2 linked regions of the Caenorhabditis elegans genome follow. The protein of the gene in region 1 purifies or fractionates together with the protein of each later gene. This does not show direct contact. Each region holds a gene or a part of one and is shown on either strand. Other genes may lie near its edges.

Region 1 (7,482 bases):
GGCCATGGCCGAGTCTCCGACAAGTTTCAGCGGCAATTCATATTGCATTGTTTTCCGCTTGTTTTCTTCAGTTTTTCCTCAATTTTCACCGTTTTTTTCTCATTAAAACTAACAAATAAATACATTTTACAGATTTTGAAACGATTTTCACGTGAAAGGAAGAATTTTTGGGTCGACTAGTAGCTGCGGAAGGTCACACAGTAAGTATTATCGATTAAACCAAAAAAACCCAAACTTTTTTTCCAAACATAATAAAAAAGCCGTGTCAATGCTAATTGCACCTTATTTTCATATCCAGACTTCTGAAAAAGTTGTCAAAAATTTTTTTTTGGAACTTTTGTGTGAAAAAATCGATAAAAATCGAGAAAATTCGATAAAATCAGATCCCAAATGAAAAAAAAACCCAAACTTTTTTCCAAACATAATAAAAATGCTGTGTCAATGCTAATTGCACCTTATTTTCATAACCAGACTTCTGAAAAAGTTGTCAAAAATTTTTTTTTGGAACTTTTGTATGAAAAAATCGATAAAAATCGAGAAAATTCGTTTTTTTTTCCATTAAAAACAGGAACATAAATCATTTATAAATTTTCAGATGGTCAGCAGGAAAAGGCGGGCAGCACAGATTGAAAGTAGCCGTAAAGGCGTCGCCAGCATTCGAGCTCGTTGTGATATGGAGGCTTCCTGTTCCAGTTCCCAAGAGAACGAGGTAATTTTTTTGTTGGAAATTTCTAAATATTAAAAAAAATTTTTCAAAATTTTTCAGGCTTCGCGTGCATCTACCAGTCAATGCAGTTCCCCGAAAAATTTGAAAATGGAAAATGTTACTATCTTGCCAAAAACATTGAAGCTGATACATGATGATCCGAAGAGTCAAGTAATTGTTTCAATACAATTTGAGATAGAAGATACTAAAAAAAAAATATCAGCTGCCATTCTAAACTTCAATATCTCTAAAAAAGCGAATAATGCGATAAGAAGTGAGAGAAAGCGGATCGTGGCAACGATACTCAAGACTCGGAAACATGTGGAACGATTCAGAAGACTTTGGAAAAAAGAGAAAAAGAAAAAAGAACACTCTGAAATTCTATACAAGAAAAGCCAGCTGAGCAAACAGGAGACTATTGCAAAATTTCCTCCGATGTTTCGCTGATCTTTTGGCAATCTCAAAAATTCGGAATCGAAACGAGTACGCTTCTCTGAGGCCCTGTATGTTCTACAACAGATGACAAAACTGGAAGATATGCTCCATTCATAAATGGCTTCTTGAAATTTGTTCGCGAACGGAAGGAACAGACGTTTTGCAATCAACTTTCTTCATTTCAAACGTTGGTATTGAAGAAAAAATGTGAACTGACGCATTCACAATTGACGAAATTGAAGAATCACTTTCTTGGATATCTGGGATTTGACATTTTGCCAGGCATGAAGCCCGGATTGCAGTTGGCCACCAAGTTTTCCATGGCTTCTGTCTTCAAAGTGAAACTTCATGTCAATTCAGAAAAAACTCCAGTGACGGTCTGCCAATGCCACGATATTGCACGAGTGTTGAAACATCGAATCGAACTTCTTGCGAAATCTCGGATACTTCTTGTCAATGATATTGGTGAGCAGGACAAAATATGGAATCCACTCCTTCTCGTCCTTTGAAGGCACGATTTGTTCTCAAGAAACGTTCCGAATAATACGATAGTTCAACCAGCCTGTACAATTCCTGATTTAATATTTTTAGCTCAGGTAAAATAATATATACGGGGAAGCATTCTGTTGAATTTGTGCCCTCCGGTTCAAAATACCATAGTCGCAGTTATATAAACGATTTTTTGCAGAAATCTGGCGATAGAAACTGGACAAAGACGACGAATTTCCCAAAATCCACCAAAAAGTCCATATTTTATCAATATAATTATCAATCGATTCTTTTTTTTTAATTTTCTCTTATTTTTCACAAATTTTCTCAATAAATTATAATTATGTTTTATTCAAAGCAGTTAAGACTCATTTTCTCGCTAGGTACAGTAAGAAGTGCACAATGTCGTAAAATGCGGTGTATTGTGTGCAAACACCGTTTTTTCGCATTTTTCTCGGCCCTCGTTCGAAAAAAGTCGCAGTGCTTTGGTGCAGTAGCCGTGATATCTTGATGTACTCCATTCTCTTGATTTTTTACAAAACATTTCTCCGCCTGGTATGAGCACAGCCATGCTTGTGATTACATTTAGAAAAACCATATACCAACTGATCGGACATGCCAAAGAAGAAAACAATATTTTTGAAGATGCATAGCTCTCTGATAATATCCTTAGTCTTCTCAGAGACTATTGAAAAATATATTCTGAAAAGATAAACATTTATAGGCACTTTCCAATTGAAAACTCGCTGTTCAATAGATCTCAAATGGCAGAGAACAATTTTTAGGTTTTTCGGTGGGAGACGAAGAAGAGGAAAAGAAGAGTCACCATTCATCACAAGAGAATAAAAGCAGAATGAGACAACAATAATCCAGGACCTATTCAAAGAGCACCTTGAATATCGATTGCCAGTTGACCCCTGAATCATTCTCTTGGGTTTTTAGCCCCCTTCTTTTCTCACCTCCATTGTCTACATCATAAAGACCAAAAGGATATTCTACGTCAATAGGAATTGTCAGAATTATCAGTTTTGATATCAAAAATTGCCAGCTTTAGTACAGTAGAATAACTATGCGATTCATGCTGCTTATTATTTATTCAAAATTTAAATTTTAACCAACTGTGAGTTTATTTTATAGAACATTTTTCGAAATAAAATTCAAAAAAATAAAAATTGTTATTTTTCAAAATCTTAATCTTAATTTAGCACCATTACCGACAGGCAATGATAGAACACCAAACCGGACTGACCAAGTGTCGTACCAGTTTCGAGCAATCAAGTATTGAGAGACTGATATTCTTGCTGATACTATACTCTTAAGATATGAAACGATATCTACCCCTCTAGCCCCCTACTCGTGCGCCCTCAGTTACCTACCTACCCCGTTACCTACCCTACCCTACCTACCTACTCAGTCTCCTACCTACCCCGACCGTATCATATCTTTAGAATATAGTATCAACAAGAATACCAATCACCCAACCCCAATCACTCGAAACCGTTAGGCACCAGGTTAGCCAGTCTGGATTAATCGAGAGTAAACCACTTGACTCCAGACAACTACATCTTATACTTACTTACGTCTGGGGGACAATCTTGGGATTCTCAAGATGACTTCCATTACGAAGTCTCTTGCAATAACCAATTACCACAATTTTGGAGCAGAATTAAACTCACCCACCAGTACAGGATCAAAGATGAATAATGAATGAGAGGCCCTCCTCTCATTGTTGTGGGCGGGGTCAAGGGGTCAAAGTTTTTTGAATTTCGAAATTTTGAAATTTTGGAATTGTTAAATTTTTGGAAATCTAATTTTTGAAAGAACCACATTTTCCGTTTACAATTTGAGTTCAATTCCGCAACCCCGTCAAATTTAAGAAGAGAAAGAAAAAAAACACAACGTGTTTGCACCTGTAAGGTAGTTTTTTTTTGTTGCCTTCGGCGTTTTGATTCACATGAAAGTTTCTACGGAAAAACTTTCATTGCATAACGATCTTCATATCTTGTTTCTGGAAACGAAAATTTCCAACATGAAAGAAACCCGACGCTATTTATTCTCGCAACACAAAAATTTCACATTTAAATAACCGCGGTTTTTCTCGAACAGCATATTTGACGCGCATTGCTCGTCAAGTTTGATGCGTGCACACTATTTTGCTGTTGTTTTTTTCTTTTTTCTCTAAATTTTCTTTACGCTTTCGTAGTTTCTATAGAAACGATTCTCCACTCCCGGTTTTCTTCCGATTCTCAAAATTAATTAAAATTTAGTTATTAAAAATCCTTTTTCTTGAAATAATCGTTCAATTTCGAGTTTTCAAGAGTGGAGACGTTGAATTTGTGAGCCGCTTATTTTTTCTGTGTTTTTGTTTTGTGGTTTTTAATCAGTGTCATAATCATACTTTCCATTGTTTCTTTATTATTCAAAGTTGTAGATTCAGTATTTTAGATCGGTGATGTTTATGAATCTTCTCACTCAGGTCTCCAACGCGATTTTTCCGCAGGTCAGTGCTTATCCGAAACATTCGTCATTCGCAACTTGGGCCTATTTGATCTATGGCGTTGTGTTGTTGCCTTTACCTTAATTATCATCATTTTCATCAGAAACCCACAAAAACTAGAGACATAGCTACAAAATTCTGCGACCGAGAGGCGGGTACACACACAATGTTGTCTATTTCATCTCGCTCCACCTTCTCTCTCTCTCTCTCGTGTTTACCATTTCTTTTTTAATTTTGCATCTATCGACTGTGATCTGCCTGTTTTTTTCTAATTCTAAACTTTTTGCCGTGATATTCCTTAGAGTGTTCCCTAGAAAATTCGTTGAATTTACAGGTCGAAGCCGCTCAAAAAATGTCGAACCGTGCTGTCGCTGTTCTTCGTGGAGAAACTGTTACCGGTACTATCTGGATCACACAGGTTAGCCGAGTTTTCCGCTTAAATCATTTGTATTCTTTTTCAGAAGTCCGAAAATGACCAGGCAGTTATTGAAGGAGAAATCAAGGGACTTACTCCCGGTCTTCATGGATTCCACGTTCACCAATATGGTGATTCCACCAACGGATGCATTTCTGCCGGTCCACACTTCAATCCATTTGGAAAGACTCATGGTGGACCAAAAGTATGGAAATTTTTTATATCGCTTGAATTATAATATTTTTTCAGTCCGAGATCCGTCACGTAGGCGATCTAGGAAATGTGGAAGCTGGAGCCGATGGAGTGGCAAAAATCAAGCTCACCGACACGCTCGTCACGCTTTACGGTCCAAACACTGTCGTTGGCCGATCTATGGTTGTTCATGCCGGACAAGACGACCTCGGTATGAACAATTCGAATTAAAAATCAATTTAGTAAACTTTCCAGGCGAGGGAGTCGGAGACAAGGCAGAAGAGTCCAAGAAGACTGGAAACGCCGGAGCTCGTGCTGCCTGCGGTGTCATTGCTCTCGCTGCTCCCCAGTGACTACCTGAATCGCGTCTCTGAATCTCCACACAATTCCTACTAAAGACAATTTTTCATTTCTTGCTTTGTCGTTATATTCTTAAGAATCCCGTTGTTCCTACTCCTACTACTGTATATTTTCACATAAAATTTCTTCAAAATTTCAAATAAAGGTTGTAGTTTCCAATTTCTATGTTTTACAAATCTCAATGTCTCTGCTCATTATATCAATACTTCACTTTTCAGTTTTGTTACCAAACTGCCATAAATGTTGTGCCAGCCGTTAAACTATCAACAAGTTCTGACGGAGAAGGGCGATTTTTCGAGCAGTTGAATAAGAATCACCTGATAATGAGGCTATTTCAAAAAACGTTTAAATATTATCGCTTTTCCCTTATTTAAGGCAGACAAAAATCTTTGAAAATATAATAATTTCTATTTTTTAATGCATTTAGTAAATTTTATTTCGAGGTCGTTCGTTTCAATTGGCATTTTCACAATGCTTCTCTTCTTTTTTTATCAGTTCAATTGATAGCGACCCGTAAAAGAAAATCACACCATTTTTATAATAGTGGACTGCAAAAAATTCGTTTCTTTCTGAATAGAGCCAGTTTTTGTGAAAATTCCTTTTTTTCAGTTTATATAAAACCTCAATTTTCAGAATGAGTGGGATTCTGGAGGTTTATGACGCAAAGCGTACGGACAATCTCATCATCACCCTCGAGGGAATTTCTGGATCCGAAACGATCAAAGCTATCAAGAAGCGAATTGCCCAGAAAAGTTTGTGAATCGAAATTTATGATTTATTAGCTAAATAATTTCAGAGCTGAAACTCACCGAAGAACGTCAGGCTCTCCGTGTCGAACCAAAGGGTAAACCATTGGCTGATGACCAAAAACTCTCCGATCTTGGACTTTCATCTCAAAAAGCAGTTTTATATGTAAGAGATCTCGGACCACAAATCGCCTGGAAGACTGTCTTCATGGCTGAGTATGCTGGACCTTTGTTCGTTTATCCGCTTTTCTATCTTCGACCAACTTTCATTTATGGACAAGGTGAGCCGGATTAATATTATTTCACACAATATCTTACATTACAGCCGCTGTCAATGCTACCATGCATCCAGCAGTACAAATCGCCTTCTTTGCATGGAGCTTCCACTACGCCAAGAGATTGTTCGAAACTCAATTCATCCATAGATTCGGAAACTCGACTATGCCACAGTTCAATTTAGTCAAGGCATGTTTCAAAAATAAAAATAAAAACAATTGAGTAAAAAGTAATAAGGGACACTAATAGTAAGTTGCAAAAGTTGCGTTGATGAAAAAATTATTTTACGCTCTACGGCAATTTTCAATCTGAAATATAGCAACAAAAAAAAACTAGTAAAAACGTTGAATATGCCTAAAATTCAAAGTTAGAATATTTCGTACAACTTTAGGTAGTTTTAGTAGAGAATTTTGAAACGGACAAGATTAAAAATAAAATTCACTAATCGATAAACAAATTTCTATTTCCTGAATTTTCAGAACTGCTCCTATTACTGGGGATTCGCTGCCTTCGTCGCCTACTTTGTCAATCACCCACTTTTCACACCACCAGCTTTCGGAGATCTTCAGGTTTATTTCGGACTTGCCGGTTTCGTGATTTCGGAGTTTGGAAATCTCTCGATCCACATTCTTCTCCGCAACCTCCGTCCAGCTGGAACCCGCGAACGTCGTATTCCAAAGCCTGATGGAAATCCACTTTCTCTCCTCTTCAACTACGTTTCGTGCCCGAACTACACATATGAGGTCGCATCATGGATCTTCTTCTCCATTATGGTCCAATCTCTTCCAGGTAAATAAAAAACTTGTAAATATAATTGATTTTATTCATAATCTTAAAATTTAGCAATCATCTTCACCACCGCTGGATTCGCTCAAATGGCAATCTGGGCCCAAGGAAAGCACCGCAACTACCTCAAGGAGTTCCCAGATTACCCAAAAAATCGCAAGGCCATCGTTCCATTTGTTCTCTAAATTATCGCATTTGCGCCGAATATTTATTGTATTTTTCATGTACTCTTGCAGTTCTATTATTACCAATCCGCTTATTTCAATCAGTAATTTATTAAATAGACAATTTCTCCAGATAAATGTTTGCTTGAAAAATGTTGCAAGTCTTGGTTGGTGAAAAAAAAGCGTTAATAAAAGAGAAAAAATGTTTAAATAAAAATAACGTGATATTGTTTTTTACATCGAAAATTTAAAATGTTCCCGACTTCAATGTAGAAAGAAGATTATTTCGAAATATTTCAAGTTATCCAAAGATGTCAATTTGGTGTGCAGTTTGCAATGATTTAAAACCATGTGAAGAAGCAACTCAAGTGAGATTATTGCATTATTCTCAGCCATACGGATTCAAATTTTCCAGT
Region 2 (6,121 bases), on another chromosome or scaffold:
TTATCAGAGTTTTCAGTAAGGATAAAAAAAAATATTTAAAAAAAAATTTTTTTCAAAAAATAAATAATCGATTTGTTTTCGCAAATTCATAATAACTGATATTGATTTTTTTCAGAAATAAACTTCAATCTTTGCAGAAATCAATAAATAATCGATGTTTTTTTATTAGAAATCGAATTTCTCAGTAATAAAAAAAAATAAAAAAATTAACTTTCAGATTTTTAATATTTTTTTTAAAAATATAATTTGATTTTATTTGCTCCAGACAACCTTTTCCTTGAAAAATTCTTGAAAAAGAAAATGAGGGGTTTTGAAAATTTTTTGAAATTTTTTGAAATTTTGAAAAAAAAAATTTCAAAAAAAATTTTTTTCAAATAATTTTTTTCCAAAAAACTTATTTTTCAAAATTTTTGAAAATTTCCGGCAAATCGACAATTTGCCGGAATTGAAAATTTCCGGCAAATCAGCAAATTGCCGGAATTGAAAATTTCCGGCAAATCGGCAAATTGCCGGAATTGAAAATTTCCTCTAAAATCGGCAAACCGGCGATTTGCCGGAATTGAAAATTTCCGGAAAATCGGCAAACTGGCGGAATTGAAAAATTCTGGCAAATATGCAAATGGGCAAATTGCCGGAATTGAAAATTTCCTCTAAAATCGGCAAACCGGCGATTTGCCGGAATTGAAAATTTCCGGAAAATCGGCAAACTGGCGGAATTGAAAAATTCTGGCAAATATGCAAATCGGCAAATTGCCGGAATTGAAAATTTCCTCTAAAATCGGCAAACCGGCGATTTGCCGGAATTGAAAATTTCCGGCAAATCGGCAAACTGGCGGAATTGAAAAATTCTGGCAAATATGCAAATCGGCAAATTGCCGGAATTGAAAATTTCCTCTAAAATCGGCAAACCGGCGATTTGCCGGAATTGAAAATTTCCGGCAAATCGACAATTTGCCGGAATTGAAAATTTCCGGAAAATCGGCAAACTGGCGGAATTGAAAAATTCTGGCAAATATGCAAATGGGCAAATTGCCGGAATTGAAATTTTCCTCTAAAATCGGCAAACCGGCGATTTGCCGGAATTGAAAATTTCCGGCAAATCGGCAATTTGAGCTTGTAATAGGCTTTGGATATAGTCCAGAGAGGTCAAGCTTTCCAGAAGAAATCAAGCCGATGGCAGTGGGATAGCTGAAAATTTCCAATAATTGGCCACCTTGGAACTAGGAATGTTGGCGCCAAGCTGTCCCATTACGGTTTGATCTACAAAAAATGCGGGAATTTTTCGCCCAGAAAAATGTGAATCTGCGTCTCAACTCCCGCATTTTTTACTGCAAACTCAAAATAATGGTTACCAAGGTGAAATTTATCGATAAATTTGAATTTCTACATGAAAATCAGCAACATTAATTCTTGCGCTGAGAACTCACAAAAAAGGTTTTATGGGTGAAATTTAACGAGGATTTCGAACTTTGACATAAAAATCAGCAAAAATGAATTTTAATTCAGTTTTCCTGAGGATAAAGCATAAAAACTCATTTTTTGACTTTTCAACTTCAGTTTCAAGACTTTTAACTAACAAATTCAGATTCAGCACCCCATTTTACCCCTAGGCACATGGTTTTTACAAAAAAGTGAGAAATTCTGCATTTTGTCGTAAAAACTGCGGTGTTTGCGTACTTTTGAAGCTACCGTACCCCAAAATGTTCAATATTTGCACTGCAAACTCACAAAAAGGTTTTTCTAGGGTGAAATGTCACGAAGATTTCAAATTTTTACATGAAAATCTGCAAAAATGAATTTTAATACAATTTTCCTGACGATAAAGTCATAAAAACTCATTTTTTGACATTTCAACTTTAGTTTTATGAATTTTAACTAACAAATTCAGATTCAGCACCTCATTTTACCCATAGGCATGTGATTTTTACAAAAAATTGAGAAATTCTGCATTTTGTCGTAAGCACTGCGGTGTTTGCGTTCTTTTGAAGCTACCGTACCCCAAAAAAAATGTTTTTTTTTGTTGAAAATTGGAAGGAAAATCCTCAGTTTGCGTTCCAATTCGAATTACCGCCAAGAGTTCAAGATGTTCGATGGAGCGCGCTTGCATCATTTTAGTTTATTTTTGGATCTTTTTGACGGGAAATTCAATTTCCAAAAAACCGAAAAAAAATCAGTAAAATAATGCAAGCGCGCTCCATCGAACAAATTAAATTGGCGGCAATTCAAAATTTTTCAAAAAATTGCAGAAAAGCGCTAAAAATATTTAAAAACGGTTAAAAAATAGCTCAGAGCTTGAAAAGGTTCGACCACTGCCGTGTCTTTTAAGTACGCCGTTTGTTTTTTCCGGTTCTCCAAGCCACATTGAGCTTTTCTCGGTTCGCCCTGTCACATCGAAAACATTGTCTGTGGCCAGAGAACAAGAAAAATCTGAAAAATCATTATTTAAAATCGAAAAAAAAGAAAAACAATACCGGCGAAAAATCAAGGAAAAAAGGAACTATAACAATCGATTTTTTCAACAAAAAAGAGGAATTTCCTAAAATCTAAACTCAAAAAATTGAAATTAAAAAATTAAATAAACAGAGAGAGAGAGAGAGGGGAATAATTGAATGAAGATTTGTGAGACCGAAAGCCATATGGAAGATAATTTAATGGAAGACTCCGAGAAGATCAGACTCGCGGAAGATTGAGTATTCCTTGTCCTCGACGACGACCTGAAATTGGGGAAAAATTGTTGGGATTTCCTGCGAAAATCGGTCGAAAAAATATGTTTTTGCGCAATTTTCGCGGTCTGTAAGCAAAAAATTAATTAATTTTCAGGTATTTTGTCAAAATTTTGGCCTAAAACTATATTTCACTGGAAAAAACTGACATTTTACCGCCTGAAATTCAGTTTTTTTGGCGTAAAAATCATATTTTAACCTAGTTTTTCCTTAAAAAACGAAGGAAATTTGGGATTTTTTCAAAGAAAATGCTAGATTTCCGGTGAAAATCGGCACTTTTTGTGGATTTTCAGCGAAAATAAACTGATTTTCAGGTTTTTTCCTAATAATTTAGAGCGAAAAACCCATGAAATTCAGTTTTTTGGCGTAAAAATCGTACTTTAATTCAGTTTTTCTCGAAATTCGTTCATAAAAATGAATTTTTACAGAGAAAATGCTAGATTTCCGGTGAAAATCGGCAAATTTTGTGCAATTTTCGTTGGGTTTTAGCGTAAATGTACTATATTAAAGGTATTTCCCCAATAATTTAGAGCGAAAAGCGCGTGATATTCAGTTTTTGGGGGAAAAATCGTATTTTAATACAATTTTTCCTGATTTTTCTGAAAAAATCTTGGATTTCGGCTGAAAAAACACAATTTTTGTGCAATTTTCGTTGATTTCAATGACTTTTCAGTAATATAACGCTACTTTTACACTGAAATGTTAAAAAAAATCCCGATTTTCGTCCAAATTGTGTGAAATTTCAACGGAAATTCAGATTTTCACATTAAAAATTCGCCAATTAATCCATATTTTCGCTCGAAATTCGTCGCATTTTGTACCTTGGTGCCTCCGTATTCTGGGAGAAGGACACGATCTCCTGGCTTCACAGTCAATGCGACGAGCTCTCCCTTCTCGTTGCGAAGTCCGGCTCCGGCAGAGACGACGGTGGCTTCAAGGACCTGAAATATTCGAAAATTAGGTGGAAATTGCTTTAATTTGAGTGAAAATTCGGTAATTTCGGATAAAAATTGGACAAAAACCTCCGCGAGCAGTCGGAGAGCGTGTTGGCAGGGAAAATCGATAATTGCATCATTACACCAGACTTTACGGAATTTTCGGTGAAAATTAACATTTTTCGTATAAAATTGAAGGTTTTTAGCTAGAAACTGTGTTTTAGACGCCAAGTTGCACCATTTTGACGGTGAAATTGGCATTTTTGTGCTAGAAATCTGCTCCAAGACGTTGAAATTTATCAGTTTTCACCTGAAAAATCAATTTTTAGGCCAAAAATTGCTCACTTTTCCCTGTGACTTCTCCGGGAGCATGATTCCTCCCTTTGTCTTGGTCTCGGCGGCGACTCTCTCGACGAGCACACGATCATAGAGTGGCTTGAAGGTCTTGAGGACATTGCTCTGCAAAAAAATACGCGTTTAATTCGGAGAAAACACCGGGAAAATAGCTTACCGATCGGCGGACAGCGGTGAGGAACATTTTTCGGCTGAAAAATTGGTTTTTTGAGTTTTAAAATTTATTTTTAGCGGGAAATTACATGAAAACAACGAAAAAACCCGAAGAAACCCGCGAAAATTCAGAAAATGATCAAAAAACCAAAAGAAGCTTCGAGAAAAAAAGCAGAAAATAAATGTGCGGCGCGAAAAATCTCGTGCGGCAAACTTGCAAATCTAGGCGTGTCGGGCCAATGGCAGACACCGCGCCGCAAATTCAGCCAATCAGCGCGCTCAGCTCCACCTAGAAAAGTGTGCGCACCTTGCAAAACTGGGCGGAGCGAGTGAAATGATGCAAAAGTCTATTCTGATGTAAATTAGCCATTTTACATCAAAATTTGCGTCATTTTCGTTATTTTTCTCTCATTTTTCATATTTTGAACGAAAAATTGAGGTTTTTTGCTTCTATTTTCATCAGAAACCATTGAAAAATGCTTATTTTTGGGCCATTTTTCGTCGAAATTAGGGGAAAAAACTATTCTACAGTTTTCCCAGCTATTTTCTCATTTATTCCTGTATTTTTCAGTCATTACCTGCTTCCCAGACGATAATGCAAGGCTTCTCGCTTCATTTTCATAAAAAACGATTGAAAAATGCTTATTTATAGGCCATTTATCGTCTAAATTAGGGGAAATATCTGTTTTACCGTTTTCCCAGCCGATTTCTCATCCATTCTCGTTATTTTTCACTCCTTTTCTGCTTCTCAGACGATAATGCAAGGCTTCTCGCTTCATTTTCGATGAGAAACTCTGATTTTGCTCGCATTTTCGCCTTTCCGCTGCAGATTTTCACACAATTTTCGTAGTTTTTCAGACACAAAAGATGCTTCGCCTCGCCAGAAAGGGACTTCAGACCGCCGTCGTCAGATCTTACGCCAAGGACGTCAAGTTCGGAGCCGAAGGACGACAGGCCATGCTCGTCGGAGTCAACCTGCTCGCCGACGCCGTCTCTGTCACTATGGGCCCAAAAGTACGGGGATTTTGATGTGAAAATTGAGGAAAAAATGCTGTAAAAAAATCTATTTTAACGTATTTTTATACACAAAACTTCCGGTTTAATGCAAAATTTAATTTTTTTTTCTTCATAAATACAGCCTCTAAAACTCCAAACTCTTTCAGGGAAGAAACGTGATCATCGAGCAGTCGTGGGGAAGCCCAAAGATCACAAAGGACGGAGTCACCGTCGCGAAATCCATCGACCTCAAGGACAAATACCAGAACCTGGGAGCCAAGCTCATTCAAGATGTCGCCAACAAGGCTAATGAGGAGGCTGGAGACGGAACCACCTGCGCCACAGTTCTCGCCAGAGCCATCGCCAAAGAGGGATTCGAGAGCATTCGTCAAGGCGGAAACGCTGTCGAGATCCGTCGTGGAGTCATGAACGCCGTCGAAGTCGTCGTTGCAGAGCTCAAGAAGATCTCCAAGAAGGTTAATACCGGGAAATTGTGGATTTAAATTCAAAAGCCACAGTGATTTTTGGAAAAATTGGGATTTTTGACCCAATTTTGAAGCGATTTTCATTTGATGTTAGAGGAAAAACTAGAATTTCGCTCAAATCTGCTTGAAAATCGCGAATTTGTGGCTAAAATCAGTTGCCAGGAATTCAAAATCTTCAAAAAACCGTCATTTTTTCCCAATTCGGGCCATAAAGCTTATTTGTTCGACGGAAAAACCTTCATATTCCGGAAAACTGACAAAATTTCACTGATTTGCTCTGAAAATCTTGAAAAACCGTCATTTTTCCCCTACTCAGGACGAAAAGCTTATTGTTTGACGGAAAAACCCGAATATTCCCGAAAAATTACAAATTTTCACTGATTTGTCTCGAAAAACCTTGAAAATTCAAAAAGTTCGCCAAAATGTGGTGCTTTTTGGAACAATTGGCAGCTCTGATGCAATTTTTCATTCAATG

Evidence for each region. Proteins that work in one complex are often made in the same cells at the same time.
Region 2: the proteins of sod-1 (region 1) and Y22D7AL.10 fractionate together in Caenorhabditis elegans (co-fractionation; one large-scale study listed by BioGRID). This does not show direct contact.

Annotation. Positions count from the first base shown.
Region 1 is NC_003280.10:6,970,481-6,977,962, reverse strand, and holds sod-1 (Superoxide dismutase [Cu-Zn]), read left to right. Parts: upstream 1-4,075; 5' UTR 4,076-4,082; coding exon 4,083-4,130; intron 4,131-4,461; coding exon 4,462-4,545; intron 4,546-4,588; coding exon 4,589-4,747; intron 4,748-4,791; coding exon 4,792-4,945; intron 4,946-4,989; coding exon 4,990-5,087; 3' UTR 5,088-5,257; downstream 5,258-7,482. Other genes in the region: C15F1.8 (Ribosomal protein L29), read left to right, coding at 596-709, 767-1,153; putative very-long-chain enoyl-CoA reductase art-1, read left to right, coding at 5,729-5,846, 5,891-6,121, 6,166-6,305, 6,596-6,905, 6,960-7,087; C15F1.5 (RING-type domain-containing protein), read left to right, coding at 7,378-7,434, 7,482-7,482. UniProt on the Caenorhabditis elegans protein: Protects cells against oxidative stress by converting superoxide radicals to hydrogen peroxide. Required for normal brood size. May be involved in regulating mpk-1 phosphorylation downstream of phosphatase ptp-2 during oocyte maturation.
Region 2 is NC_003281.10:1,614,727-1,620,847, forward strand, and holds Y22D7AL.10 (10 kDa heat shock protein, mitochondrial), read right to left. Parts: upstream 4,204-6,121; 5' UTR 4,197-4,203; coding exon 4,170-4,196; intron 4,118-4,169; coding exon 4,004-4,117; intron 3,665-4,003; coding exon 3,545-3,664; intron 2,715-3,544; coding exon 2,649-2,714; 3' UTR 2,425-2,648; downstream 1-2,424. Other genes in the region: hsp-60 (Chaperonin homolog Hsp-60, mitochondrial), read left to right, coding at 5,033-5,179, 5,329-5,637.